Linked DNA regions of Oryzias latipes. Each later gene encodes a partner of the first gene's protein in a complex. Links are inferred from orthologs where the notes say so. Each region holds a gene or a part of one and is shown in the gene's direction. Other genes may lie near its edges.

Region 1 (15,273 bases):
TTGTTAGAAACACATTTATCCTATAAACTAAATGAACATTGATTTTCTGGGGGGTCCAGGCTGCTGCCGCCCCTCCCTCTGCTGGGGCTTGGTGTAGATTGGGTGCTCGCTAATTTGTTTTACTCCCTGCATCCCATAATACCAGCGTCCAGAGTAGAACACACACCCACCTGAGCACAGGTACCTGCTCTCCAGGATATGGGATGCGTGTGTGTTGATCTGTAATGTGTGAGTGTGAACATGCATGTGTGTTCATGCTACCAAAGGATATGTTTGTGTGTGGATGTGTGTCCCCCCCCCCCCCATGTGTTTTTTACAGTGTTAAACTTTTTTAAACTAAACTAAACTTTTTTAAACTAAAGTTTTTTTAACTAAAGACAGGGGAAAGTATCAATGCTGACTTTATACACAGCCTGAGTACAGAAGATTGAACGTTTTTCCAGTTTAGCAACGAAACTAATTTCCACCATCAGTCCATCTATGTTAATGTTATTCTATGTAATCTAAGTCAATTGTTAATAAAAGTTCTTTTAAGAAGAAAAAAGTGTTGTAAATCAAATACATAAGGATATTTTAGGGCTTAATTGAGATTTTAATGCATTTCTCTTCAATTTATTCAGTGAAAGTGTTTCGAACATTTAAATAAATATAAATATTAAAAAGAAATCCCACCACTTGTGGAACTAGCGGAAGTTCACTGTGGCCCCGCCTCTTTGTCTGTGTCGACAAATCATGATTGGATAAAACATGATCAGCGCGTCGAGAGCGTGCTCTGTGATTGGCTGAGAAATTGGCGGGAGGAAGCCTGTGTTTTGAGACGTTCGCCCCGCTGAGACTAGATCGATGGTTTTACCGGGTTCGTTCGCTCCTGAAACGCAGGAATCCCGCTTCTATTCCTCCGGCGTGAACACTACCGGCGCCATGGACCGTCCGGAAAACTACCGGGAGGTTACGGAGGTCTCCGAAAAGTTGGAAACGTGAGTATATCGACAAGAAAAATGAAGACTGGTAGGTTAGCCGGTAGCCTCAGTGTGAGCTAGCTTAAACTTTAGAGCTCTGCTTTCAAAACCCACAGACCCGATTGGGTTCAGCGGAACCGCGTGGGCTTAAGGTTCTGATGTGAAGGACTCGAGCAGCGTCAGGACTCAGGAGACCGTTTGAATTCAAAAGAGAAACTTCGACATTTGTCCGCGTCAAACTAACCAGCAGTTCAGTCGATGATGAGACAAACTTTAATTATTTAGTGAAACTTCAGAAAACGTGACCAGAAAAAAACCATGAAGGACATAAAAGGTCAGATCATGGATAAATAGATACTTAATGAATCTTTATTGTTTTACTTTTTATTGTGATTCTGTTTGGATACTTATTTCGGCTTTTTATGACTATTATCTTGTGTGTTCTTGGCACTCTTATTATATTGTCCGTGCGCGTGCGCGCTTGTTTTTATAACTGATTGACTAAGAGTCCAGAATAAATTCTCTTGTCAGTTGAATATAATGTTTTAATAACTTTGTCTCATCGTCGTCATGTAAGTTCAGGTTGTTTTTGATGAAGCTTCATTTATGGGATGTTTTCTTCGCCTTGCAGGTCTTTGTCTATCAGGGCTGCTGCTGATGAAGATGATGATGAGGCGATGGAAAAGTATCAGAGGTATTAAGAGACTCTTGATTAAATGTGCCGATACATTCAAATGTCTCAATACATCCCATAGAGATGCTAAGATACCTCTTAATTAATTAAGTGAAAATGCTTCTCTTTTTGTTTTTGCTAATCTAAATGTCTGGATTTTATTTCTACACATTTATAAATGAAGAGAACCTGCAGCTCCAAACCACAAATGACAGTTTTTTGCTTTGCAAATAAGACCAAACCTTTTAGTTCACGCCATGAGTAAAAAGTAGGAACAGAATCTTTAATGACATAGACGTTGTCTTCATTCATAAAGTGATGTTCTGCTGCATTTCTGCTGTGTCTGTAACATCTATGCAAAGACAACGTTATGTCACACATGAATATTTAAAAGTCTAGAAGCTCAGAGGATTTTTCTCTGTGGCTCCATTTAAACAACAATAGTTTGAGAGCATGTTAAAAGGAAAGAGGCTGATATTCAGTCGTTTCTTTCAGACTGATTTCTGAAGGTAAAGATGCTGCCAAACAAGGGGACATCGAGAAAGCGCTGGAGCTCTTTAAACTGGCCTTCAGCGTCCACCAGACTCCCAAGCTGGAGAACAGGATAAAGAAAATCCAAGAGCTTCTGTCCCAGAATGACTCTGAGGATGAGGATGACGAGTTTGTCAACGTGAACAACAGTGGTTTCATGCTCTACAAGGAGCTGCATGACAAGCTGTACGGCTACCAGAGAGAGGGCGTGTCCTTCCTGTACGGGCTGTACAGAGACGGACGCAAAGGCGGGATTCTAGCCGACGACATGGGACTTGGGAAAACCATCCAGGTCATCTCCTTCCTCTCTGGCATGTATGACAATGAGCTGATCAAACACACGCTGCTCATCATGCCCACGTCGCTCATCACTAACTGGATCAAGGAATTCTCCAGGTGGACTCCTGGTATGAGGGTCAAGGAGTTTCATGGCGCCAGCAAAGCAGAACGGACCAGAAGTTTGGAGAAGGTTCAAAGGAGGAGCGGCGTTGTCATCACCACATACAACATGCTGCTGAACAACTGGCAGCAGCTGTCCTCCTACCAGGGAAAGGAGTTCTGCTGGGACTACGTGATCCTGGACGAAGCGCACAAAATCAAAAATACGTCCAGCAAGACGGCCAAAAGCGCCTACGCCATCCCGTCAAAGAACAGGGTTCTGCTGACAGGAACGCCAGTCCAGAACAATCTGCGGGAGATGTGGGCTCTGTTTGACTTTGCTTGCCAAGGCACTCTCCTGGGGACAGGTAAGACCTTCAAGACGGAGTATGAGAACCCCATCACCCGAGCCAGAGAGAAGGACGCCACCCCGGGGGAGAAGGCCTTGGGCTCGCGGATGTCCGATAACCTCATGGCCATAATTAAGCCATACTTCCTCCGGAGGACAAAGGCTGAAGTGCAAAGGAATGAGTTGTGTGAGAAGGAGAAGCTGCACAGCAGTGCAGAGAACCAGGAGGACCAACCTGACCCCGCCGCGGCCATGCCCCAACTGAAGCGCAAAAACGACCTGATTGTCTGGACTTACCTGAGCGCAGTTCAGGAGGAAATCTACAGGCAGTTCATCGACCTGGACTGCATCAAGGAGCTGCTCCTCACCACCAGGTCTCCTCTGGCTGAGCTCACCGTTTTGAAGAAGCTGTGCGACCACCCCAGACTGCTCTCTACGGACGCCTTAGCGAGGCTGGGTCTGGAGGAAAACGCCGCGGACGCCGCCGCTCACGGCATTGCAGATGTGCCGGACCACACGCTGATTTCAGAGTCTGGAAAACTAGCCTTCCTTGTGGCGTTGCTGGAGAGGCTCAGAGAGGAAGGCCAGCGCACCCTCATCTTCGCTCATTACAGGAAAGTTCTGGACATCATCGAGCGCATCCTCAACAACCGAGGTTTTAAAGTTCTCCGGCTGGATGGAACCATAACACAGATAACGGAGAGAGAGCGGCTCATCTCTCTGTTCCAGAAAGACCGGAGCTACTCCGTCTTCCTGCTCACCACCCAGGTGGGGGGCGTCGGCATCACACTGACTGCTGCAAACAGGGTGGTCATCTACGACCCCAGCTGGAACCCGGCCACAGACGCCCAGGCTGTGGACAGGGCGTACCGCATCGGCCAGACCGAGAACGTGGTCATCTACAGGCTGATCACCTGCGGAACGGTGGAGGAGAAGATCTACAGGCGGCAGGTCTTCAAAGACTCCCTGATCCGACAGAACACGGGGGACAAGAAGAACCCTTTCAGGTACTTCAGCAAGCAGGAGCTGAAGGAGCTCTTCACCCTGGAGGACACGCGTTCATCCTCCACGCAGCTTCAGCTGCAGGCGCTGCACTCGCGGCACCGCCAGACGGACCCCCAGCTGGACCAGCACATCGCCCACCTCCACACCATGGAGATCTTCGGCATCTCCGACCACGACCTGATGTTCTCCGTGGACGTGAACACAGATGAGGCTCCTGAGAACCCGGAGGAGCAGCACTACATCGAGGGGCGGGTCCAGAAGGCTCAGGAGCTGGTTAGGGCGGAGTCTGAGGTACAGGTGGGTAGAATCTGAGCAGACACTCACTTACCCACAAGTTTCTGTCCTCATGAATTCATGGTGAGGCTGAGCGGCTTTAGAGAGACGAAGATCTGCTGAGAAATGAGTGTTTTCATTTTCAGATATGAATTTCCTCATTCTGATCATTTTAACTTTATTTTAAATAAACTGAAGCATGATGTCATAAAGTACACCATTTTTGGTCTTGTCTTTAAAACTTTTTCCTTTGGAAAAATGTTTTGCATTAACGTTTAAATGTAAAAATGATAAAGAATCAGTTTTACTTTCAAACAAATATATAGATTTTAAAATATTTCTATAAACATATTGAAACATATTTCCAAAGGTTCTCAATAGGGTGGGGGAGGGGGGGGGGCATACCATCAGTTCTCTCCTTTTCTGCCTGTAGTAGCCAGTGATGCAGACTCCAGGCAGCATGAGATGCTGCTCTGTCATGCAGGAAACCACAGTTCTTTGGGTACCAGGGAAGAAAGTGGTCAGTCAGAAGCTCCACCCACTTCTCTGGGGTCAATAGAGCTGCTGGTCTCCGGAGGATCCAACACCCCCAGAGACTCCAGCAGCTTCAGATCTGTGCTTTCAGTAGCTGCTCAGCTGGCAGAAACTTGCTCATTCCCCCTTTATCTGCAGCAACACGCGTGTCTCTGAATCTCTTCATAGGACGATGATCATGCTTAGGTTTTCCTGAAATAACCACAGTTTTCATACTTTGACCGAGGCGTTTGACTGTTTCAGGCTTTTCAGCAGCAGAGATCCTTTTTCTTCCATACTGCTTGGAACGTCCTTTAGTAGTTTCTCCTTTGATTGAACTCACCTGGAACACTAATCATCTCAGGTGTCTGAGGTTGATGTCAGTGATCCAAACAGACCAGAGACTCAACACCTTCCATCCTTTTAAATGGAAAACAAAGAATTGGATCTTTTTGTCATATCTACCATTTGCATAATAATTTGGAGCGTTCTCTGGATTCCCTTTGGCAGAAGTTTGTTCTCCATGGTTCTACCTTCAGAGATGAAGCTTCAGTTTCATCACATAGACCAGTGTTTCCCAGCCCTGGTCCTCGGGGAACAATGTCCTGCTCAAACACACCTGACCTTCACCTGACCTTCTGCAGAGTCTGATCAGCTGACTCAGGTGTGCATGAGCAGGACAACATGCAGGACGGTGGAGCGGGAAACACCGACACGGTTCTGCCTTTATCTGCTTCATTATCCACAGTGACGGTCAGGGTGACTGATCGGTAAATGTCACTGTGCACCAAAGGTTGTTTTCATTTCTGTGCCACAACCAAAAGCATTGAGGAGATCCAGCGGATCCTGCAGATCTACTGCCCTCCGTCTGGTTCCGTCAGGAACGGCTCACCTGTCAGACGTGCCGTGTTCATCTGAGAATGTTTCTGTTTGCAGATGCAGATGGCGGAGAGCATGGCGACGAGCACAGAGCCGGCGTGGCTGAGGCATCCGCCCCCCCCAGACAAACCCAGAAACCCCAAAGCGGCCCGTTCACCTCCACAGTCTGAGGTCAGCGTGTTTGAGGTGGTGGACCTGGACACTTCAGAAGAACGCTGCAGGAGACCGCCTCTGTCCCTCCAAGTGACTGATCTGACTGCAGACCCTCCCCCCCAGGACGAGTGTGAGGTTCTAGATGCAGGACCAGAACCTGGAGGTGCTGGTGGAGGAGCCTCTCTGACTGCTGCTTCTCTACAACATGACGCCGGCGTCCTGACCTCTGCTGATGACCTCAGACATCTCCACGGTGAAATCCCTTCTGAGCTGGACCTGCACCAAACCCCCCCCCTGACAGAAGGAGATTCCAGCTCTGAAGAGAGCTTCCACCCAGATTCTTCTCGTGGAAACTTTCAGCTGCAGTTGGAGGACAGTGGAGCCGTGGAGGATGAAGAGATGGAGGAAGAGGAGCAGAAGCTGCTGGCTAAGCTTCTGATGGACGGCAGCTTTAATGTCAACAAGTCTCTGTCAGAGAGTTGGAGCAGACGCCAGGAGGACACGTCCATGGAGGACTCGGTGGTGGGGGTGAGGAAGAAGAGAGCCCCGACAATTCAGGACAGCGATGAGGAAGAGCTGAAGTCTCCACTTGATGGCTCCTTCCAGGTTCTTGAAGCCTCCACGCCCAAGTCAGCAGCTCCTCGCCACTCACGAAAGAGCGTGGGGGGAAACGCCTCTGTGGTGTCACGGCGGTCTCTGCTTCAGTCCATCATCCAGGATGTGGAGGATGAGGACGAGGATGACGAAGATGTTTCTGGATTCAAGTCTGAAGAAAGAAACATGGACGAGCTTCAAACGGACATGAATGGAGAGACTCTAAACATGGAGGAGGAAGAGGAGGCTGAAGAAGGCTCCAGTTTGAACCTGCAGATCGAAGAGGAGCCGGAGTGTCAGAGGAAGGAGGAGCCGCTCTGTGCCGCAGAGAGCTACGAGGTCCTGGTGAAGAAGGGCAAAGAGAGCTACAGCCAGGCCAAGCTGGACGAGGCGCTGAGCTTCTTCCTCAGAGCCATCGACATCCGGCCCGGAGACCCGGAGGTCCAGTTCATGACCATCCAGTTGTACCGACAGCTGAGCCAGAGACCCTGAAGAGTTTTATGTCTTTTAGTGTGGAGTTGATCATTAAAACCATTTCAATGGATTCAGCCGTCTGAACGTTTGTGCTTCACTCATCAAACCATGACGTTACAGAGAAAGATGGACCTCAGGAATGTTCCCAGACGGCCGGGGCAAACTTCAAAACCAGCCAATCAGCTGATGGGGGTCCAGCTGTGAGGCCGCCGTCAGTCAGTGAGGGGCGGAGTTTTCATCAGCATCCTGATGTTTCTCATCAGGCTGAAGTTCTGCTCCGGTTTCATTGTGATCCGTCTTCATCCTCCATCAGCTTTACATCCTGTTCAGTGTTTTTCAACCCCCCCCCCCCCCCCCGGGTTCCTGTCCTATCAGAGCATTCTGGGTAAAATGGTTTTCCTACGTTTCATCCGCCTACAGGTTTTTAGGTTTAGATTCAACGGTGTAAATGTGTTTGCATTCAGGAGTCACCTGGATGTTACACCTGTGTCTCACTGTAACGACTGCTTTATGCACCTGGAGCCACGCCCACCTCTTTTATATGACCTCACCTGTGTGACTCTGCAGCCTGTCAGTCTCTCACGGGGGGGGGTCCTGCCTGCCTTTGATCCACCGACCTGGAGCTGCTGTGAGGAATGGTCTGACATCACCTGAGATCATCAGAGGAAGTGGAGGCGGGACTTAGGAAAGGCAGCCAGGTGGGACCCGCCCCAATGAGAGACTGATCACCGAATCTTGATGACCTTTGAGTGAAAAAGCCCTGGACTGAGGTGGGGGGGCTGTTTTACAGTTTGAAAACAGATTTGGAGTTGAAGGGTTAACCCTTGTGCTATCTTAGATGACCCCCCCCCCCCCCCCTTCCATTGAGGTGTTCCCCCCACCATGACAAAGGTGGATAAAGGTGGAAAGATTTCATGTAATCTATGGACACCAGTGAAGATCACAAATCATTGAAGAAAAAAGGTTCAGAGCTCTGTCTAGTGCAGGGGTCGGGAACCTATGGCTCGCGAGCCATATATGGCTCTTTTGATGGTCACATGTGGCTCGCAGACACATTTTTAATTTTTTCTTTTTCATTAGACCAGTCCTTCTCGGGCGCGATGCGATGGCAGAGGCGCGCAGTAGTAGCGGTGCTTGGAGAGAAGGATCTGCGCCAGCATTATCACTTTACTATTATCTATTAATTCACAGAGTTTGTACCACCCGGAAACCTGTGAATTGCCGTGCCTAAAACTGCGCGCTCCCGTCTCTGAGAAAGAGCGCGCAGATGCGGGGACGGGATGTGTGAGGGAGAAAGCAGAGGGTGGGGGTGAGGGGTTGTGGGGACAGCAGGTGAACCGCGCAGGGATTGTAAAAACATAAAACCTGCTGCCCGTCACTCACTGCAGCGTGTGAGTGTGTGTTTGGCTCCACGTCTGCATGTGAGCAGTCTGTCTCACATCTACAGAACATTCAGACCTAAGATCACGTTTAAAGTCTCAACGCCTGAACGAAGCAGAAACTCACCACGTATCAACCAGACTAGACCATCAGCAGAACCACCACGAGAAATACTCATCATTTATTAGCAACAGCATAACAATGTTATTAAAAATAATCCACAGACTTATTGTACTTTAAAAGTGTTGAAATTATATCAAATGCACACATTCACTTGAATATTTAGTTTTAAACATATTGTAGCGGACTGAGTTTAACTTGGCTGTTGGGCCGCGTTAAAAGTTCTGGAGTTCCTTGAACGCATCAAGCACAGATCTGATTGGCTCTTAGTTCTGTCGCTCAGCCTGTTGTTAGTTAATTTGGACCAATGGGGTTCAGCTATGGGCCGAATAAGGGAAATGGGAGGCCTGGAGCGGGAGGGGGGAATATAAAGTTGGGAGAAGTGCTCTCGTCTCGGCAGGAGAGATTCAGGAGCTGCTGAATTAATTTACGGCATTTGTTACAGCCTGCATTAACCAGAATAAAGAACCTTAAAAGAGGTTAAGTCTCCATGTGGGAAAAGGACACTACATTATTGTATGGCTTTTTCGAAATTACATTTAAAAATATGTGGCGTTTATGGCTCTCTTGGCCAAAAAGGTTCCCGACCCCTGGTCTAGTGGGTCTAGATGACCCAACTGTCTAGTGGGTCTAGATGACCCAACTGTCTAGTGGGTCTACATCAGTGTTTTTCAACCTTTTCTGAGCCACGGCACACTTTAACCTTAAAAAAAATCCCGCGGCACACCAGCATCCAAAAATTAAAAAAAAGGAGAAACTCTAGTCTGTATTGATCTACAGCCCCTCCCTCCACAATCTTACATGCATTTTTGAGATAATTGTGTCAGAAAAAGCTGGAAACTGTTTTTTTCTAACAGATTAAATAAAAGTTAAGTTAGAAGATTTAAAAACTGGTTGTGTGTTCGTTGGTTTCAAGACGTTTAACAACAGATCTCCTTGTGCCCTGTCACTCTCACAACCCAATGCATCATGGGAGATGTAGTGCATAAAACGGCCAGAGATCGGTTTTCGGAGCTTCATGGTTTTGTTCACTTGTTCCACGGTCTGATACCGGACTCTGTGGAAAGCTACACCGCTAAAGACGAGCTTTAGCTGCTATGTTTTTTAGAACTGAGCGACTTTACGAGCTAAATCGGGACAAGGAAGTGAAGACTTTAACCACTTCTGATTGGTCAGACTGATGACATGTGATTAAGCCCCCCAGGAATGATTGGTGGAGACAGTTAAAGGGACGGGACTTTTCCAAAATACAGCCGAAGGTGCAGCTGAATCGCGGTACGTCGTTCTTATCAAAATGTATTTAATAAAATAAAATAAACGCAAAGAAAAAGTAATTTACGATCTTTTATATTCCTAACTCCTCAGTGTTTTATCAGGGCCTGTTTGGATGAACAGAGAGCTGAAATCCTGGAGATGGAAATGTTTTTAGATCAGTTAATGAGGGCAATTTTCCACGGCACACTTGTGGAAAAACACTGGTCTAGATGACCCCACTCCCAACGTTAAAGTGCCTAGGATAGCACAAGGGTTACAGTGAGGAATTAAAATGACATTTGTAGATTAATTCTCTATTAAAAAGTTAATAAAATCTTTTAAAAATGGAACTGATTTAAGTTTTTCAGCTGATTGTAAACAAGAACATTCCTCTTTCTGGTTAAAGAAACGTTTCACATTTGGGGTCTAATCGGTTTGGTTTTGGCCAATGGCTCCTCTTCCAACAGATACCGGTTTTCCTGCTGTCTAATGGCACACTCGGACGTTCTGACCCGGTTCCTGAACCCGTGGGTCCGGCTGCTGCCTCTACAAACACACAGACGCGTTTGAGGGAAGCTTTTATTTGCAGTTCCTTCAGGCCTTTCAGGTCCTGGTCTCAGCGGCGCGGAGGACAGCAGCAGCGCCGTCTCGGGCCTCCTGAAGCAAAGCGGACGCTCTCCTGTGTGTCTGCAGAACCAGAACCGGAGGTCAGGGCCTGCCTGGAGGCGAGGCTGCCAGCAGATGTGGGCGTACGTACCGCTGCTTTGAAGGCCTCGTCGGTGACGTCGGTGAGGTTAGTCATGATGTTGTAGTACGCTCCAAAGGCAGCCGCCTCCAGAGCTTTGGCTGCGACCTGGACAGCACACACCGTCAGAACCTTCATGGTTTCCACACATGGGGGGCCTGAAGGTCTGCATGCAGACTCTACAGCTTATGTGGCATTTATGTTGGACAGGAAACGTGCACATAATCCATCAACTCTAGCCTCTAGTCTGTCTGAAAGCCAGACTCAAATTTCAGCAAAAATGTCTGCAGTGCTCGTTGGAGGAGGAGGCGGAGCTTCATGAACCACGCCTGCAGCATCATTCTCACCTGAGCGTCAGACTTGCAGCTGATGTTTCCATGGACGACCATCTCCTTCAGATGAGGCCAGAGGGCGCTGATCCGCTCCGCCAGAGCCTCCGGGACGGCGAGCGCCTGCTGCAGGCCGTCCTGCATGGCGTCTTCTCTCCTGACAGGAGCAGAGGAGCATAAAACCACTGACACGTTGGCTCCAAGTGCTGCAGCTTTCAGCGCCACCTTCTGGCTGACATCCGTACCGTTTCTTTTCCTCCGCCGTGTTTTTTGGCATCTTCAGAGCCGCCTGCAGAAACACGACAGCCGTTTGGGTCAGACCGGGTCGTCCTGAATGTGCGGGAAGGTTCTGGGTTCTCACCATGTAGCTGTTGAAGGCGGACGCGTCGGCGTCCACCATCTGCAGGAAGTCGTTCATGGCCCGATGAAGAGGAGGAATCAGCTTCCTCATCACTCCGTCCAGGTTTTCATACTGCCTCTTCCCATAGGTCATCTGCCCCACCATGGCCCCCAGCGCCGCCCCCTACAGGTAAAACGCAAGATGACGATAAGGACTTGGATGTGGACGCCGTCAGAACTTTGAGAATTTCCCACCAGAGCAGCGATGGCAGCAGAGACCGATCCTCCTCCCGGAGCCGCCGTTCGAGCTCCAACGCTGTGAACAAACTGCCGCAGGGTCAACGAGCGCAGCTGCCCCTCCTCCTGCCCCTTCACCATGTACCTGCATGTAGGACGCAGCACCTTTAGCTCCCGCTCCTTCTGCTCCTGCGTGGGCGATCAGACTCACTCTATGATCCTCTCCTTGGGGTTGAACGGGCCGAGGGAGTCCAGGCCCAGTTTACTGACCACCTGCGGGCCAGAACATGCGGTTCTGTCAGTCGGAGCGGCTCATCGGGTCTCCACACACGGTTCCGTGCTCACCAGTCTGACTTTGTGCTCCTCTTCAAGGATGAAGAGCTGATCTCTGTGAATGTAGAAGTCAGCAGCGTCCAGCAGAGCCTTCAAAGGGATCAGACCCACGATCTGAGAGCCCACCAGCGGCAGCCTCAGCTCCTAGACGGCACAGAGCAGCTGAGGCCCAAGCCTGGACCACCTCATGCTGACGCCTCACCCACCTCTGCTGCCCTGCAGACCTCCTCATACACGGCGTGGAGGGGGGTCACCTCATAGTCCAGGATGTTGGTGGACACCTGGGCGATGTTGGCCTCCTCCAGGTACCAGCCCATCCCCTGGACCTTCTTCAGCAGGCCGGGCTGAGCGAGGAGGACACGAGGAGGAGATGCAAGTTCACTCATCTATACCTCCTTCTATCCACAAACATCTGCAGTCATGACCAGAAAGACCAGCAGCCTGGCTGTTGGGTCAGAAAACAGTTTATCTGCAAAAGTTTCTCATTTAAACTCAGGCGGGATGAAGCGGGTCAGCAGAACCCAATCTCTTCCACTTCCTGTCACCACGACGGAGTTTCTGACAGCTGTCTGCTGGAATGTGGGACCACTCCTTTCTAAATAGTTCTGTGTTGAGACTTTCTACAGATGTTCTATGGGATTCAGGGTGGACTGGGTTCTGAACCGTGGGATTTGGGTCATGGTGGAAGCAGCTTTCTGACGCTGGACTCACCAGACGTCATGATAACATTCTCACGGTCAAGCCGTCCAGAAGCTCCGCCCTCTTTCGGCAGCCTTTGAATACCTGGTTTCGGTTCTGTCATCAGTGCCGAGCCGTTCTTTACCAAAAGGTTCTGGTTCTGTCTCATCTGTGAGTCTGTTCTTTTTATCTACATAGAACTGAAAGGTTATCCATGTCATGGATGTACGGCTCTAACGATAACGGACACAACGGCACAGAGATGTCTGGAGATGGACGGGAAGCCCTGAGGTTGTCCATGTCCAGAAACCCCCACACCCCTTTACCCTGCATGTGGGGGGGCTCACTGACGGCACTAGAGAACTAGAGCCACCAAGGGCTCCTAAAATGAACCTACGCTATAACCACAGTCTGACTGCAGGTGGCGCCCTATTGGGCCTTTATAGATCTTCAATGGGAATCAGGTCTCCTCTGTTGCCATGGTGACAGCCCGTCAGTGGAATCTCTTCAGCAGGAAAGATTCCTGAAGTTTGTGGAATCTTGTACAGAACAACAGTTAACAGCAGTTGACTCCCAGCATGCACCTGGTTCTGGCCCCGGCCCTGCTCCCGGATGTCCAGCGCCACACGGTGAGCCTGCTCCTTGGTGCTGATCAGGTTCACGTTGTACGCGATGAGGAACTTCCGCGCGCCGGTCACCGTGGCGCCCCACGACGGCACGAAGGCGGCCGGGCCGAAGTCGGGAGTCCATTCCTGCCGACTGAGCTAAGAAAAGACGCGGGAATGAAGCCTGAAGACGTGAAGCGGCAGGTTTCCCAGCCTCACCTTGTCAGGAAGAGCCTCGTACTCTCCAGCACGCACAGACGGGAGCGCCCTCCTTGCCGGCGTGCCAGCCGCCTCTCCGTAGAGGTAAACTAAGAGGAGAAAGAGCCTCAGAACCAAAGCAGAACCGGCACGTCTGCTCCTCTGGGAGGAACCACAGGGAGCCTCAAAGCCCCGAGTCCATGGTCTCCATAGGAGGAGCCAACCTTTCTGTTCTACACCTCCTTCCAACCTCCTGTTGTTCCTCTGGAAGGATTCGAGTCCAACTGAAAAGGCTTCTTCATTCATCCGTTCAAATGTGTTATGCTTGTTTCCACATCATTAGTGGAACTACACAAACATTTGAACAGACCAGGATTGTGAGGTCACTTCCTCCTCATTACAAAGCTGGACTCCCAACGAACACAACTGGATCCACAAGGTGTGGAAGCACACGTGTGCTGATCTGAACACGCAGCACTCAGGTGTGCTGTAAAAGGCAGCAGGTAAGCTCACCTGTATCATTGAAAAATGGAAAGCTAGAAGAAATGTGAGAATGGGAGGAGGAGGAGGTGGAGGAGGACTTGAAGAGTTGCTCCAACCTGAACAAAGACGCAGAGGACCAAATTTGACTCAACAAATCTGTACAACACTTCTTGACCGCGACCTAAACCACGGACTGACTGATGGAAGCAGGTCAAAAGGTCAACCAAATCTCAGCAGAAATACTGTTGCTTCAGACATTTCATCCAGAAACAGGTAAGACAGCCACACAGTTCACTGACACTCAAGCCTGCCGTACTTGTAGGCTGCAAGGATGTTTTAACACTTGTAGTATATTTTTTCACATGGCATTGAGGGTCGAGGACGCCATGGTGGAAGGGGCTCTACGTTCCCCCGTACACAAGAGGGCGCCGCTTATGGCCAATAATTGCATCAGGCTGCCAGAAGTCCAAGCCAATCATGACTGATGGCCGTAATCACAATAACATCCAAAGAGTCTCTCTGTCACAATAGCTGGAAAGAAAAATGAAGAACACAAGAAAAACTGGATCAGAACCATGAGACAGACGGTCAGAAACCAGCACGGCTCATTTTACTGCTGGGTTTTGGGTTCTGAGGTTCTGGCTCCAAAGACATGCACAGGAGATGTGGAACAGCATCCTGGTGTCTCTTTCAGAGTCTTGCCAATGGCTGCAGATCAAATTCAGCCTGGGTTTCTACGCCTGGATGAGGCGGATTTACCCCCAAGACCAGGGAGAAATGTGATTGGACACCGGGCAATGACCAACGCGTTGGTGCTGGACCCCCCCTTACCTGGAACGTGCAGCATGTCCGCCAGCTTCTGTCCGAAGGCGCGGGAGCAGCCAACGCAGTCGTCCATGGTGACGTTCTGGACGGGGATGAAGGGGCAGACGTCCAGCGCTCCGGTCCGCGGATGCTCACCTGATGAGCAGGTAACACAGCTTCAGCGCCTCCTGCTGGGCAACGGCGGCCTGAACGGGGGGGTCAGACTGACCTGAGTGCTTGGTCATGTCGATGAGGCTGAAGGCCTGGCGGGCGGCGTTCAGCGCCCCCTCTACCACTGCATCGGGGGGACCCACGAAGGTGTAGACGGTGCGGTTGGTGGAGGCGCCGGGGTCCACGTCCAGCAGGCTGCAGCCCGCGGTGCCGGAAATGGCCGCTGAGATGGCATCGATCACCTGAAGAGGATGAAGTCCACTGACGGTCAGACGGCCAGCAATGATTGACAGGTGTTACACATTCACAGACACAGCAGGAGGCCCGCTCCTCCAAAGACCGGTCCGGTCCGGGTCGCTGTTCTAGTTATGTAAAAGAGAACGTTAGTCTTTGGTGACACGCAAAAAACTCCAGTGCTGCAGAAAGAACCAGAACCAGTGGTGAGCTGAGCCGGCTCGTCAGTTTGGATTTCAACCTCCTTCTAGGAGGAAGTTTCCTGCTGGTTGGTCCGGTAAACCAGAATTTCTGCTAAACCTGAACGCTAAGATGGATCAGAGGAGGGAAAGCAGCTCCAGAAAGGAAGGTCAAAGGTTACGGAGAAGTCCAAAGCCCGTCCCATCAGAGCGTCTGCAGCAGAACGATGGTTCTATCTGTGCTGAAGCTCCGCCTTTTAGAATCATCTGACTGAGAAAACAGCAGGAGAACATGGAGAACAGAGGGAGTACAGGAGGAGAACTGCTTCAACACCAGACTCACGGCAGGAACCCTGAAAGGATTCTAGAGTCCAGAATCCTGCAGTGAAGTTCTACAGTGAAT
Region 2 (15,711 bases), on another chromosome or scaffold:
TTGACGTTTGGGCCCGTTTAATCAATCGCCCATTTCCAGCCACATAGTAGTCTTTAGCCATCGGGATTTCGCGCAAAAGGGTGCGCAAATTTGTTTCCATGAGTCTCTCCGCGTGAGACTTTGCAGATGACACATAAACTCTCCTGTAGTTTCCATGATCTTTTAGCTTTGACTTCAAACGAAGAACAGCCACTTTATCCTCCACCGATGCGAGCTCCACTTTCACCAGGCCTGGTTGCCGTCCTCTCTGCCTTACGCGCTCCGTGGCTACCAGCGTTGGCACCGGGTCACAGTGCAATCCATCCTGCAGCAGCTCCTTCACTTTAGCCTCGAGATTTTCTCCATCCGCTTGAGGCAGCCCGACAATAATCAGTGACACGTCTGGGTCAAAAGATTTTCCCCGCACTTCTCTGTTCCTCATTTTAGTTTCAATATCGTCCATTCTGGAACTCATAATTGAAACTTCCAGATCCAGATTATTGCGCACTTCCTTCACCCCCTTCTCCAGCTCACTTTTAAATGCAGCTTGTCCGTCAAAAATGATTTTTTCCAAGCTTCCCCGGAGGGTGTTCATTTTTATATCCATCTGTGTTTCAATATTGCTTTGCATATTGTCCATTTTTGTCTGCATTTTATCCATTTTGTCATTGAGTGCTCTCAGTTCATTCATTAAGGCGTGCTCACCGTCGGCGTCTTTCTTACGATGACGTGTGTTATCTGCCATTTGGGCTTCAGTCGTCCACAAATTATTGCATCCAAATTAAGACTTTTTGAACAGAGCGACAAAGTTCTGTTCAAAGTTCAAAGTAATCTTTCAAACCCAAAATCAATCTCCTCGCTGCAGCACCCACCCACAGGCCCCAGCGCTCCAACTCCTCATTTGCCTTCCTGCTCCTGTGGCAGTCCTGGAGCTGCTGTGATCAGTCATGTATAAATCAGGATAGAATGATTTATCGTGTCAAAAGCCTTCTTTAAATCAATGAAAAAATCTATTGTGTATTTCTTTTTGTCAATTGCTTTTGATATTTCTTCAACTATTTTCATTACAGCCAAACCTGTAGACCTATTAGAATGAAACCCAAACTTATTCTCACTTAACAAATTTTTTTTTAATAAAGCTGTCTAGTTTGTTCACAAACAACTTTTTTAAAACTTTTGAAAATTTGGAAAGTAATGATTCTGGTCTGTAATTATTAAAAGTATGTCTGTCTCCATTTAAAAAAAAAAAGGAATACCTTTAGCTATTTTCATCCTCTCTGGAAAAATTCCCAATTTCAGTGAAAGATTAATGATATGATGTAGTGGTTTGACAATACAATATATTGTCATTTTTATTATTTTCATATCAATCCCATTACTGTCCTTTTGAGGTCTTGTTTTTCAGTTTGTATACTGTAGTCAAAATGTCATTTTCAGTCACATTGGATAAATACATAGATTGGGAAATTTTCAGTCATTCCTTCATTTCATTCAGTCAAACAAACCATTTAGATGTTGAAAAATAGGGGAATGATCCCTGGATTTTGCCCCTGGTTGGATCTCCCAGTGTTGGAGTTAAACCCGGTGGACGAGAGGGTTGTGTCCCTTCGCCTTCTGGTGGGGGACAGGCCTCTGGCAAACAGCACTTTGAAGTACCCGTCCTTCTTGGTGTCTCTCGAAGGGGTATAGGAAAGTGCCCTAATGAGGAACTCACTTGTCTTCCTGGGGGATTTCTATGCCCGTGTGACCAAGGAGGGGCGGGATTGGTAGTAATGGCCTTCCAGATCTGAACCTGAGCCACCGCTCACCGCTTTTGTTGTTGAACTTCTGTGCTCGTCATAGTTTGTCCATAACAAACACCATGTTCAAACACAAAGGTGTCCATCAATTCATGTGGCATAAGGACACCCTAGTTTGTAGTCGTTTCAGGTGACCTTTGGCCATGTATCTTGAACACTCTGGTAAAAAGAGGGGCAAAGCTGTCCACCAATCACTACCTGTTGGCGAGTTGGATTTGCTGACAGAGGAGGCCGGAAAGACTTGGCAAACCTAAATGTACTGTGAGGGTGTGCTGGGAACGTCTGACTGAGCTCTCTGTCAGGGACGTCTTTAACTCCCACATCCGGGAGAGCTGTGGCCCGGGCTTTTGTGAAGGCAAAAACTAAGTCCTGGGAGGAGTTCGGTGAGGCCATGGAGAGGACTAACTGTTGGCCTCGAGGAAATTCTGACAAACTGTCTGGTGTCTCAGGAGGGGAAGCAGTCTTCTGCTGGCCCTGTTATTAGTGCAGGTGGGGAGCTGTTGACTTTGACTTGGGACATTGTGGGGTGGTGGAAGAAATACAATGAGGGTCTCCTCAACCCTGCTGACACATCTTCTCTCGAGGTAGGAGAGGCTGAAGACTTTAGGGTGGGGCTGTCTATTACCCGAGCTGAGGTCACTGAGGTAGTCCACAAGCTCTTTGGTGGCAAGGCTACTGAATAGATGAAGTTCGCCCAGAGTACCTCAAGTCTCTGGATGCTGTAAGAGTGTCTTGGCTGACATATCTCTGCAGCACTGTGAGGCAGTCGGAACTGTACCACTGAACTGGCAGACGGGTGGTTGTTCCAGGGAATCACTCCTCAGCCTCCCTGAAAAAGTCTATGCCAGGGTACTGGAGAGGAAAGTCCATCCGATAGTCGAACCTCAGATCCAGGAACAACAGTGCTGTTTCCGCCCTGGTCATGGAACAGTGGAACAGCTCTACACCCTCTTTGGGGTGCTGGAGTGGGAGTTTGCTTATCCAGTTTATATGTTTTGTGGATTTGGAGATGGCTTTCGAACATGTCCCCAGTGGTGTCATGTGGGGGGGCTCTGGGAGTATGGGGTCCATGGAGCCTTACTAAGGGCTGTCCTGTCTCTGTATAGCCGGAGCAGGCGCTTGGTTCACATCGCTGGTGGTAAGTCACACTTGTTCCTGGTACATGTTGGACTCCAGAAGGGCTGCCCTTTTAGGTTCTGTTCATAATCTTTATAGACAGAATTTCTAGGCACAGCCAGGGGGCGGAGGGGGTGTGGTTTGGGAACCACAGGATTTCCTCGATGCAGAAGAGTGAAGATTAATGGAAAATTAGTGAAGATTGGAGTTTAAGATTGACAGGCGAATTAGAGCGCCGTTTGTGTAACGGCCCTTGTAGTAAAGAGAGGGCTGAGCCAGAAAGCAAAGCTCTTGATTTGCTGGTCGATCTTCGTTTCGAGTACTGATGGCGTACCATGGGCTCTTGGTCGTAACAGAAAAAACAGGTACTAAATACAAGCAGCAGAAATTAGCTTCCTCCATAGGGTGGCTGGGCGCTCCCTTAGAGATGGGGTGAGAAGCTCAACCACCCAAAGAAACCTCAGAGTAGAGCCGCTGCTCCTCCACATCGAGAGGAGCCTGTTGACGTGGCTCAGGCATCTATTCCAAATGCCTCCAGGAGGCATGGCACTGGCTGAAGGCCCAGGATCCGCTGGAGAGACTACGTCTCTCGGCTGGCCTGGGAACTTGTTGGGGTCTTCAGAGGAGCTGAAGGAAGTGGCAGGGGAGAGGGGAAGTCTGGACATCTTTGCTTATATACCTTTGCTGCCCCAGCGACCCTGTCCCGGATAAGCGGAGCAGGATGGCTGGATAGATGACTGAGACAGTCTGGATGTACTTATTAAATGTGTTCATTTTTTAATGTGTTAAAGAAGTATCGGGTCGGGGCTATCTATCGGCAAATACTCAAAATCCAATGACTCGGAACTTGATCAGGGCCACCCAAAAAACCTGATTGGGACATCCCTGATCATGCAGTCAGACTTTAAACTTTTTTTTTCCTTTGAGGGGGTGGGGTGAGGGTCTCCTTGTGTGTGTTTGGTTTTTAGTTCCTTTTGTTTTACCTACAGAGATTTCACACATTTCTCATTGACTTTTAGGCTATGAATTCCTGTGAACATGGGGAAATTTCCGATGAAGCCATGCTTGATAAAGGTGAGTTAATCTCATTGATGAAATTGTTGTTGCCAGGGCAGTTATTTATAGTAAAAATAAAAAAATAATACAAATATATCATGATTTCCAGAAAAAAACAATGTTCAAGAGGTTAAGGAGGAGATGGAAGATGTTGCGGTTTGTGGACAATCACAAGATGATAAAGAAGAAGGAGCTCCTGCTACTACAGAGGTCAATAAAAGGTCATCTGCTGAATTTTGCTCTGATACACATCAGTCCACCAGCAGCAAAAGACCTAGAGTCTCTAGTGAGGTAAAACGAAGCCAGTTTACAACATTTAAATTCTTATATTGATATGTGTTTAGTAATATTTGCATAATTTAATTCTTTTTGTTTTCTTAGTCGAGGAAACGCTTTATAGGTGATGGCAGCAGGTACGAACCCCTTTGCCTTACCACAAGTGCAGACAAGGAGGGTATCCAGGAGAAATCCAGCATTTCATACAAAAAGCCTCTTTTTAGCATCTTGCATAAAATTTCTGACAGGAGGAACACGCCGAGTCTGGAGCAGCAGGTCAGTCACGGAAACCTGAATCAACTCAACCTAAGCAGCAGCATCCTGTCGTCCAACCTACAAACTCCAGAGCAAAACTGCTCAGAGGAGACCTTCCCAAACACACAGTCAACTAGCCACACCTCAAAAACAGACTCCAGCCTTTACCCGCTGATTGAGAAAATGTTTTTCATTCTCAATAGCTTGAATTCAAGCATGACTCAGCTGCATAGTAAAGTGGACTTGTTAACCCTTGAAGTCATGCGGATAAAGAAGCAGATCAAACAGACAGAGATGGTGACAGAGTTCCAGCCTCCCCTTGAGTATCAGCTGACGCATAATGAATTGAATCAGCTGATGGAGCAGACAGCCAGTCCAGGAGAGCTCAGCTGTCAGCTGCTCGTCCATCTTTTCCCAGAGTTGTTCAAAGCCAGGGAGTGCTCTCATGAGTGCATGGCAGGCAAGAGAACCCTGGAATCTCTCCATCTGCAGCTGATTCGTAACTATGTGGAGGTATGCTACCCCTCTGTCAAAAACAACAACATTTGGCAGGAAGAATGTCTTCTCCAGATTAACGACTTTTTTAATCGCTTCTGGGCGCAGAGGGACATGGAGAGCGCCCGGCTGCTCAGGAAGCATACAGAATTGGGCGCTGGGACAAAGGCAGACCATCCTCAATCTCATAGTATCAATGAGCAGGATCAGGGGGAGCATGGGTCTGTGGACAACCAGCAGGACTCCCTTGGGAGGTCTGACATTGGATTTAGCACAGAAGAACTGGACGAGCTCTCCTCCCCTGATGACTTTGTCATCCTACTCGTGCACCGTCTTTTCCCTGAGGTTTTTGAAGAGGCAAAAATACCAGAAGGCTGTAGTAGTTTGACCAACATGGGACAAGTGATTCTGGAGTCTGATAAGATGGAGATTTTAAGAAAGTACATGGAAACCTATTTTCCTGATGTGCCTGAGGAAAGCTGGCTTCAGGTGTGCATTCAACATGTAGAGTATGCTCTGGAGGGTCCCCATAGCAATGGTAATGGGAGTGAAACGGACAACATGAATGATGAAGGCTATGATTTAGCCAGCCTTCCCGATGAAGATTCTATTCTAAAGGTTCCAGAATATGACAGGCCCAGTCGCAAATCCAAAAAGTCGCTTCTTCCACTAGTGGATTTTGACAGTTTGGAAATTCCCTCGCCTGATTTCCCGGCGCCACAGGAGTACATGTTGACAAGAGAGCAACTTAAGAGCAACTATGAATGTAGCTTGTCCATTGGTAACTTTGCATCCAGACTACTTGTACTCATGTTTCCTGAACTTTTTACCCACGAAAATACTAGAAAACAGTACAACTGCAGTGGCTCTCTGGGAAAAAAGCAGCTCGACCCGGTCCGTGTAAGTCTGATCCGTCACTACGTGCAGTTAGTCTACCCACAAGCAAAGAATAACAGAGTGTGGATGCTGGAGTTTGTGGGTAAGTTGGATGAAAGGTGCAGGAGGCGTGACACAGAGCAGAGGAGGTCGTACCTGCAGCAGCGTAAAGTTTACAGTCACGAATCAGAGCAGGACTTTCTCTGTCAAATGAGCCGCCTCCATCCAGACAACCCGAAAGAGGATCCCGACATTCACTCCTTACCCCCTGAGAAAAGCAGCAAAGACTTTTGTAAGATTCCCCTGGAGGAGCTGACTGTGTCCAAACCAGACTTCCCTGTTCCGTCCACATACCTGCTGTCAGACACAGAGATACGAGAGATTGTTCAGCAGAGTCTCTCTGTGGGTAACTTTGCCGCCCGCCTGTTGGTGCGCCTTTTCCCTGAGCTCTTCACCCAGGAGAACCTGCGCCTACAGTACAATCACTCAGGAGCTTGCAACAAAAAGCAGCTTGACCCTGTCCGACTGAGGCTCATCCGTCACTATGTGGAGGCAGTGTATCCCGTGGATAAGATGGAGGAGGTGTGGCACTACGAATGCGTGCCGAGCATTGATGAACGCTGCCGGCGCCCCAATCGCAAAAAGTGCGACATTCTTAAAAAGGCCAAACGGTCCAGCACCATGTCTTAGTTCCAGGACGTTACACTCTTTGTCATGAAGCAACTAAACAGAAGCTGAAGCTTTTTTCTTTGATCCTACCTTTGATTTTATTCACTGGCTGCAGCAGCAGATGTTTTACATTAGGTAGTCTTGTTAACGTTAGACCTAAAACTCGTCTTATTTATAAGTCAAACTATCCTAGCTCGTCTAACTAATTTTGTTCGTAAATGTTGCAGCCTTGAAAATAACAATAGTAGCTAAAAGCATAGGTCACACAGTTTTCTATATTAACAGAGTTTAGCCACAATGTGAAATATTCCCATTGCAGTTATCAATGTAGCATTGTGCCACTTGTGTTGATGCTATTGTACTTCCAGCTGAGTCCCTGATTATTTGTACAGGAACATTTTAAATGTTCTTTCTGTCACAAGGGGTTTAAAATGACAAGTTTATGTTAAAGAACTTTCAAACAAATCTTTAAGACACAAGTGTTTTTTCCACCTTACTTTAAATATGAATTGATTCAAAAGTAATAGTATTTTAAAAGAATTTATTGAAAAAAATAAAGCATTTCCTTTTGTAATTCCCGAAAGCTTTCCTGTTTTTCTAGGATTTTTCTAATTCTGAGTCAAACACCATAAAAATATTAGCAGTTTGACTCTTCATATTATTTTCTGTTAAAAAATTTTAAGTAAAATAGAAAAAATATTCACATAAGTCATATCTTAATTGGCAGATTAAAAATCCAATATGGTGGCATATAAAGGCAAAACTAAACATTGTCCTAGTCCGGATGTTTATGGACCACTGTATGTTAAGCCTTCTTATAGAAGTTTGTAATATAATTTAACATGACAGTTGATCATGGTAGCATTTTTCTAATAAACCACATTTGTGTAAATGGTATGTGTGGGATTTGTTCTGCCTGATCTGACATTTGTGGTTGAAGATTTATGATTTGGACCTAATTTATGACTCCTAAATAGGCAGCAGGTAGACTTTCTTCTGAATCTAAATGGTTTAAAGGAAAAGATAATGAGGTGCAACATGAGATGAGAAATACAAAACTTTGGTTTTTTTTCTTTTAAAGCCACAAAGATGTAAAGATGTGAAAAATATGTATGTATTTTTGCAAATATGCATCCTGTAATCACGACCTTTATGGCAAAAAAGTCTATGCTCTGTCACAAATTCTGCAAGTTTTCTCACCTAAAAAGATTAGAGGTTAATAACATTTACTGGGAGAGACAATGCAAGAAAAGAATCCTGAAAATCACACTGTATGCTTTTAAATCATTTATTTGTATAATGGTGCAGAAAACAAGCTTTAATTTTCTACCAACAACAAGATTTCTATTCCTCACAGACCTGCTACTACTTCTTTAAGAAGTTCTTTTATCCTGCACTGGTCACCTGTAATTTGAATTAGTTATCTGTATGAAAGACACCAGTCCACACCCCCTAAACAATCAGACTGTAACTGTTCCACCATAACCAAGACCAAAGAGCTGAAAGGACACCTGACAAGATACAAGACTTGAACAAAAATGAGATAAATCAAACTACAGTTAAACAGCTTCATGAAAAAGAACCAACAGGTGAAGCAATTATTAGAAAATAGAACATATATAGACCCGTTTAAATATCATAGAAAACTTTATTCATTTTCATAATTCCAGTAATGTAGACACGAGTGGGTCCAAGCCAAGGTATCATTGCCGGTCCCAAGACTGGATAAATACAGAGGGTTGTGTCAGGAAGGGCATTTCATGTAAAATCTTTGCCCATCCAAATATGCGAATCAGACTTATGATATCCGTACAGCATCTGTCGAGGCCCGGGTTAGCAACGCCTGCCATCGATGCTGTTTATTGACAGGGTGCTGGTGAATGAGTGTATGTGGAAACATAAATAAACTGTTAGAGCCATTTAAACATTCTACAACGTTTGTACTGGATTTTGTAAAAGAATAGGTCAACTCGGGAGCCCAGCAGTTCTATTGGCTGAGAGAAACAACATTGTTGATGTGCCTTGTTCTTGTTAGCTTAGTGAAGCTATAGAGCTAAGAGAGCTCAGTAGTTTTTGACCAAACTTTAACGTTTATATGTTTTGTACCATAATTTGTTTTTTGTCACAATGCATTTGGAAAGTAAACATCTAAACATGAAGATCTTGAACTGTGGAAGCTCATTTACAAAAGAAGCGTCATCTATAGGCTCTGACTCTACAGCTTAAGTGTGCCTTTCAGAAATTACACGTAGCCACACTTACACAAACGACTCAAATCATTACAACCAGAAGGTATACAAAGAAATCCAAATCCTTTTGACTTCCTATGCCCAACTCCTAAACAGAAAGTTAAGGCCTTGGCCACCATTTTGTTCTTTGGGCACCAGGAAGAGAAGGTGGGGAAACATGACTAAATTAAACGAGTGTAAACATTTGATGGTTGTGTTTTAGATACATGATGTGTCTAAAAGTGATGAGCAATTACAGAGAAGTGACAAATAGATACAACTACTTTGTCCCCCTTTTAAAAGTCGTTATTCATCCAAGTCACGGGACAAAAAGTCTGTCACTATGTTCTGGTGTCCCGACTTGTACTTTACTTGAAAACAAAATGGCTGGAGACATAAATACCATCCGATGATTCTAGCATTAGTGTCCTTCGTCATGTTGTTTTTGCTTTTCAAAAATAAGCTGGACACCTGGGGGGTATTCCAGGAAGCTGGTTATGCTAGCTCCCACGGTAAGTTTGAGGCTAAGGAAGTTGATAACCTCAGTTTTCGGTTCCAGAAATGGAGGTATGTTTCAGAGTATGTCAAGTTGCCTGGTCGGGAGCAGGTTTAGTTGAAGGTTAGTTTGTTTACATAGAGGTGAAGCAGCATGGCGTGTCCATTTGAAGATGATTTAGTGGATGAAGAAACTCAGATAATACTTTTTCCACCGTGAGAGGGTGATAAGACCACATATGAATGCTGGAAAATTAAACTTTTTTACTTTGATCTAACTTAGTTATTTGCTTCAGTTAAGATAAATATTTTTTTTAAGTCAGTTTAAAAATAACACGTAGTTATCAGACAGTTATTTTACTTTCATTCAAATTAATTCAATTAAGTAGGTGTAGCTTTGGTGCTGCTGTTAGGTCGGCACCGCAAGGGATTGTGGGATACCATTTCCTTTGCCTGTCTGGACGGATTTTGGTTTAAGTGTGGCTTTTTGACCAAATGTGTTTAGTTGTTTAGCTGTTTTACTGTGTTTTGCCGTGTTTTGCTGAGTTATTTTGTCCTACTGTGCTTATGTCTCTGCACCATGAGTGAGAGTGAAGGAGAGGATGATGAGTTTATATAGCACCCCTACCGCTTATTGCTGTAATGACAATGACGGAGAGTTCTTTAATGAATTTGTGCGCATCTTGCATTTTTTTTCCGTCCTTTTGATTGAGCATATCTGCCGGCTCATACTTAGACATATGAAAGATCAAGAAATATAATTAATTAAGATGGAAAAAATATTAATTGAATTGGAGTAATATGACATTTAGTTAGATAAACACATAAATTTGAGTTGTATAAACAATTATTGAGTTTTATAGACGTAAGAAATTAGGTTGATTAAATTTAACTCAATTATTTGTCACCAATAGAAGTAGTTCATTCAACGTGGCAAAATTGGATAAGTTATATATATGTATGCGTCACAAGGAAAATGGAAATAAGATCAGAAACTCGTGCGTTTACTTTGTCTGTTGTTCTACTACAAGCAGAAACTCTTTCTTTTGATGATGCAGCCGTGTTACTTTTTTGATGGATGTATAATCTTCATATGCCGTCATCAAAATCTCAGACTCCGTCTCACTAAAGTATAGCGCTCTCTTTGGTTCACCACGCGTTTCCATGGTGACTCTGGAAATCGGCGATCTATTGAGAATGTCTTTATGTACTTGACATGCACGTGCATTAACCCAGGGTTACTAAGTCGAGCGTAATTACGCCAACTCGTATCCGGTCTTTTGGAACCGACATACCCAGAGTAAGCAAGTTCAGGCGGATTTCAGCCAGAGTTCAGGCTTAAGGTCAGGCTAGTTTAAACATGCTTCCTGGAATATCCCCCTGGGATCATTTTTTGTCAACAAGTTTGTTTGTGTTTGGTTTGAGGTCCTGTGATGTAGAAATTCACAGTCTAGGTGCTCATCAGTGTATTTTGTTGGGCAGCTGAAGCGCTGCAGTATGGGATCTCTAGTGAATGTGAATATCAGCGCTACACTTCGACGGGCTATTGATAACTATAATATAAAATGATCTCGCGGGCTGGATTTAATTACATGGCTGGCCGAATGTGGCCCTTGGGCCTCGGATTTGACACGTGATCTAATGTAAGGACAAAATGGGGCAGGAGAAGATGTCTTCAGCCAGTGACGTGCATACAATAAAAAAGATGTATATACTTTTTTAACCCTTGTGCTATCCTAGGCACTTTAACATTGGGAGTTGGGTCATCTAGACCCACTAAACAGTGCTCTGAACCTTTTTTCTTCAATGATTTGTGATCTTCACTGGTGTCCATGGATTCCATGAAGTCTTTCTACCTTTATCTACCTTTGCCATGGTAGGGAGAACACGTCAATGGAAGGGTGGGGTCATCTAGGATAGCACAAGGGTCATGCATATCCTGACTAAGCTGCAGCTGATGCACGTGCTTTGCTGATTCAGTTTTTCTATTATCATAAAATATGCTTTATTTTTAATTACTTTGGGGGTTTTTTCTCGTCAACCGTCTGGTTACATTGGTGCATGTTTGTGACCCATTTATTTCGTCTTTTTTTTTATCCAGTATAATGAGCATTAGAAATACACTAGGTGAGGCACGCAGCACGCGCTCCTCATGGCAGAGGGCACAGGTGATCCCAAAAAATATGACAATAATAGGGGTAGCAAGTCAAGTGCAGCCGTCCAGGGGCCTCATTTATAAAGGATTTGCGTCAGAAGTGGTGTACGGATGAAACATGCGAACGCACAGAAATATTCGGATTTATAAAACCGTGCGCACGCACATCCTACGCATCTTTCCCTTAATAAATCACAACCAATTCTAAATGTAGCGCAGCTTTTGCGGCTTCATGACACGCCTATAGTTGCCCATAAATAGTCCGTGAAACGCCCAAGAAATTAATATTCATTGATTGCGAAACCATGGCAAACACAGAGAGGAAATCAAAAAAACGTAACTTCACTCAATGTGAAGTAGAAGTTATCGTTGGCGAGGTGGAAAAGAGGAGAAAAATGTTGTTTGGAGGGCACAGTGTGGGCATTACTAATGCCAAAAAGGCACTTGAGTGGCAAACGGTGGCAGACGCCGTAAATGCTGTAGCCTCACAACCTCGGACCGTGGCCGAAATAAAAAAGAAATGAAAGAAATGGTCGGACATTAAAGTCGAGGCGAAAAGACGTCTAGTGCTCCATCGCCAGGGTGTGTCTGCCACGGGGGGGGGGGGACCTCTTGATGAGAGACTGGCGGCTATTAATGGGGAATCCCTTTTAAGTGGAGTGGTGACTGAGGCGGAGGGGGACACCGACGCGCCAGATGCACCGGGTGACACAGGTAAGAGAAAATAATAAAATGAATGCAGTCAAGTCACATGCAGGCTACACAATTACAGTTTATTAATATAGAACAATTTTATTTTAGTTGCTGGGTGTTCCAGCGGGGCCAGTGGTTACGATGTTGCAGCTGAGCAGCCGTCTGGCCCCAGCGTCTCCAAGGCACGCGGCTCTCAACCCTCCAGCAGTGGACGTGTCCTCACCGATGCAGTCCTTGAAATGCAGAGGGAAGTCATTAGTTCAATCAGAGAGGTGGCCAAGGAGTTGGGGCGAAATCAAGACTGCCCTGACTGAAATAAACTGCACGATCAGGGAATCTTGAATAAATAATATTTTCCACACCTTTTGTTGTTCTTTACAAGCGACGCATCACTTCCAAACGCTGGCGCACAGCAGCAGCATTTGGGTCAAAATGGTGGGGATGGGGTTCAGGGTCGGGGCCAACACAGCAATCGGCACCAGGGGGTAGAGGCACGTTATTAAGCTGTGCCACATTGTGTATCACAGCACATGCCAGCACGATTTGGCACACACTGTCACTTTCACTTGTTTCTTCCATCTGCTGACGGTTTCGCCATTTCTCATTTTACCCGTTTTTGTGCGTACGCCTGGGTCAGAGCTTGCGTGAAGGACCGCACATTTTCCCGTCAAGTTTGCTTTTTATAAATATCAACTATTGCGTAGAGAGTGGCGTACGCCTTCTTTTGTGCGTACGCAACGTTTATAAATGAGGCCCCAGTTCATTCATTTTCTACCATTTCATCCCTTTAGGGGTCACGGGGCTGCTGGAGCCTAAGCCGGCCACTTGTGGGCGGAGGCAGGGGGCACCCTGGACAGGTCACCGGTCTGTCGCAGGGATAGCCGTCCAGTTATTTTTTAATATTGTTTAGCATAATTTTAGAAATGGAGGACTGAGATTTTTAGACACGTCATTGGCAGTGATTTTAATTGAAAGACTTAAAACTGAAAAAGTAAATGAACACTTTTACAAACAGGTTGTCCATGTGTTTCTTCAGAAGGAACTGCAAATGAATTTCATTTATGAGTAAAAGTAAGTCAATAAAAACAATTTTGGTGATATTTTTCTATGCTACAGTTTGAAAATAAAAAAATGTTGAAATGAAAATTTAAACAACACACTTAACCCTTGTGCTATCTTAGATGACCCCCCCTTACATTGACGTGTTCTCCCTACCATGACAAAGGTGGATAAAGGTGGAAAGATTTCATGGACACCAGTGAAGATCACAAATCATTAAAGAAAAAAGGTTCAGAGCACTGTCTAGTGGGTCTAGATCAGTGTTTTTCAACCAGTGTGCCGCGGCACACTAGTGTGCCGTGGGAGATGGTCAAGTGTGCCGTGGAAAATTGCCCTCATTAATTGATCTAAAAACATTTCCCATCTCCAGGAAATCAGCTCTTTGTTCATCCAAACAGGTCCTGATAAAACACTGAGTAGTTAGGAATATGAAAGATCATAAAATACTTTTTACTTTGTGTTTATTTGATTCTATTAAAGACATTTTTATAAGAATGACGGTAACGCGATTTAGCTGCAGCTATAACTGTTATCTGAAAAGTCCCGCAGCTTTTACTGTTTCCACGACTCCACCAATCATTCTTGAAGGCTTAATCACATGTCATCAGTCTGACCAATCAGAAGTGTTTAAAGTATTCACTTCCTTGTTCCAATTTAGCTCATAACTCACTCAGTTCCAACAAAAACACCAGCTAAAGCTCGTCTTTAGCGGTGTAGCTTTCCACAGAATCCGGTATCAGACCGTGGAACAAGTGAACAAAACCATGAAGCTCAGAGACGCGAGACTTTCTGCCGTTTTCTGGCAGTTTTCACACTACATCTCCCATGATGCATTGGCTTAAAGGGACAGCGCCTCAGCGTACAATGAGTCGTCCTTGTTACACGTCTTGAAACCACAACGAACATACAGTATACATACATGTATGTAACTTAAGTTTTATTACATCTTTTAGAAAAAAACGTCTGCAACTTCCTGCTTTTTCTGCCACAATTATTAAATGCACGTCAGATTGCCGGGGGGGGGGGGCACTGTAGATCAAAACAGACTGTGAGTTTCTGCTTTTTTTTTTTTCTTTTTTTTTTGGAATGCTGGTGTGCCGCGGGATTTTTGTCAAGGTTAAAGTGTGCCGTGGCTCAAAAAAGGTTGAAAAACACTGGTCTAGCTGACCCAACTCCCAATGGTAAAGTGCCTAGGATAGCACAAGGGTTAACTGTTGCCAATCAAATGGTCAATAAGCTACCCTGTAGGGTTGATTTGTTTGTAAATCTGACTGATGATGTCGGTGCCTCACTAGCCATGCACCTCACCGCACGTCACTGGCTTTACCGGATTATCAAAATATCAAGATTCAAGAACCTAGCAGACATTAAGAAAGAGTGGAATGAGGTGGAGAAAAAGCTACAAAAACCACCACATGCACATTTGGGAGGTGGACTACAACTGTCAGGCTCCTTAGGTCAAGCCACTTCTAAATCTGGGTCGACGGAGGAAACGTCTCAACTGTTTCTTGATAAGAAGGACTGGACTGTTAGCCAGTGGTCCAATGTCCAATATTCTGATAAAAGTAAAGTGTGGCTTTCATTTGGGAATCAAGGTCCAAGGGTTTGGAGGAAGACTGGTGAAGAATAGAACCAGTGGTCCAGAGTGAAATCTCCACAGTCAGTCATCATTTGGGCAGCAATGTCCAAACTCTGCTTTGTTCAATCCAAAATCACTGCAACAGTCTAGCACAGGAGTGGGCAAACATTTTGAAAGAAGGGCTGAACCAGGTGCAGACACATGAAGTGTTTTGGTAATCCACCTCAGAAGGGAAATACGTTACATGGAATCTAGATGAAAACATGTTTTAATTTTGATTGAAAATTTATACATACTTTAATACAGAGGACATTTTTAAGTTTTTATTACCAAATGTGTGCTTTTTGTTTTCATTTTAGTGCCAATTGCACCAATGGCTTAATGTCTCTCAGGGAAAATGCAGATTTAGAGAAATGCTGCATTCATGGAATGATCAGAATAATGACTGCCTGCATCTTTCTGCACGAAAACAAAGATCAAAATATTTGTTATCTACCATCTATGAGAAGACACCAGAAATACATGAAAAATTAAATATTAAGGATTAGCAATATCATTTATTAAAGTTTTGCGGGCCAGATTAAATTGTTTAACGGGCCACATTTGGCTGTAGTAAACCACCCCTGGTCTGGCAGAATGTTTTAGAGGAATGCACGATTCCTTCTGAAGGATCTTACTGGAGATGCAGATTAAATCTTCCAGCAGGACCTGGCCCCTCTGCATACTGTTGAAGGTGGATATATCATTTTTTAAATATTCTTGTTTTGATCAATTTGATCTGTCTTTATTTCTTTTTTGTAAACTATGATTTCTTCAACATTTTTGTAATTTTCTTAAAACCTGTTTTATTGGTTATATAAGCTTTAATGCAAAAATAAACAAATACTTGAAATAAATTCAACAGTGGGCCCTGAATTTGTAAAGAAATAAATACATTATTCCATGTTATAGTTTTTGGAAAGGGTCTGTATGTTGTAAGAC

Evidence for each region.
Region 2: the proteins of ercc6l (region 1) and bend3 are in contact, whole or in part, in a crystal structure (PDB 5JNO), measured with the Homo sapiens proteins. The link is inferred for Oryzias latipes from reciprocal best matches to the Homo sapiens genes ERCC6L and BEND3. Residues at the interface, in NP_060139.2 of Homo sapiens: Ala10, Glu11, Ala12, Leu13, Ser14, Pro15, Glu16, Ala18, Ala19, Tyr21, Leu22, Arg23, Lys26, Phe51, Pro52, Asn53, Glu54, Lys55; in NP_001073919.1 of Homo sapiens: Glu252, Gln255, Ile256, Gln259, Leu261, Asp265, Arg269, Val272, Gln273, Pro276, Phe279, Ser280, Phe335, Arg338, Phe339, Gln342, Glu346.

Annotation. Positions count from the first base shown.
Region 1 is NC_019867.2:411,113-426,385, forward strand, and holds the end of ercc6l (DNA excision repair protein ERCC-6-like), read left to right. Parts: 5' UTR 1-843; coding exon 844-977; intron 978-1,590; coding exon 1,591-1,653; intron 1,654-2,127; coding exon 2,128-4,192; intron 4,193-5,617; coding exon 5,618-6,799; 3' UTR 6,800-6,851; downstream 6,852-15,273. Other genes in the region: ftcd (formimidoyltransferase-cyclodeaminase), read right to left, coding at 10,139-10,222, 10,293-10,388, 10,628-10,766, 10,855-10,898, 10,971-11,132, 11,204-11,330, 11,397-11,458, 11,531-11,662 and 5 more. UniProt on the Homo sapiens protein: DNA helicase that acts as a tension sensor that associates with catenated DNA which is stretched under tension until it is resolved during anaphase. Functions as ATP-dependent DNA translocase. Can promote Holliday junction branch migration (in vitro).
Region 2 is NC_019880.2:28,672,642-28,688,352, forward strand, and holds the end of bend3 (BEN domain-containing protein 3), read left to right. Parts: intron 1-3,913; 5' UTR 3,914-3,916; coding exon 3,917-3,968; intron 3,969-4,059; coding exon 4,060-4,241; intron 4,242-4,331; coding exon 4,332-6,542; 3' UTR 6,543-7,416; downstream 7,417-15,711. UniProt on the Homo sapiens protein: Transcriptional repressor which associates with the NoRC (nucleolar remodeling complex) complex and plays a key role in repressing rDNA transcription.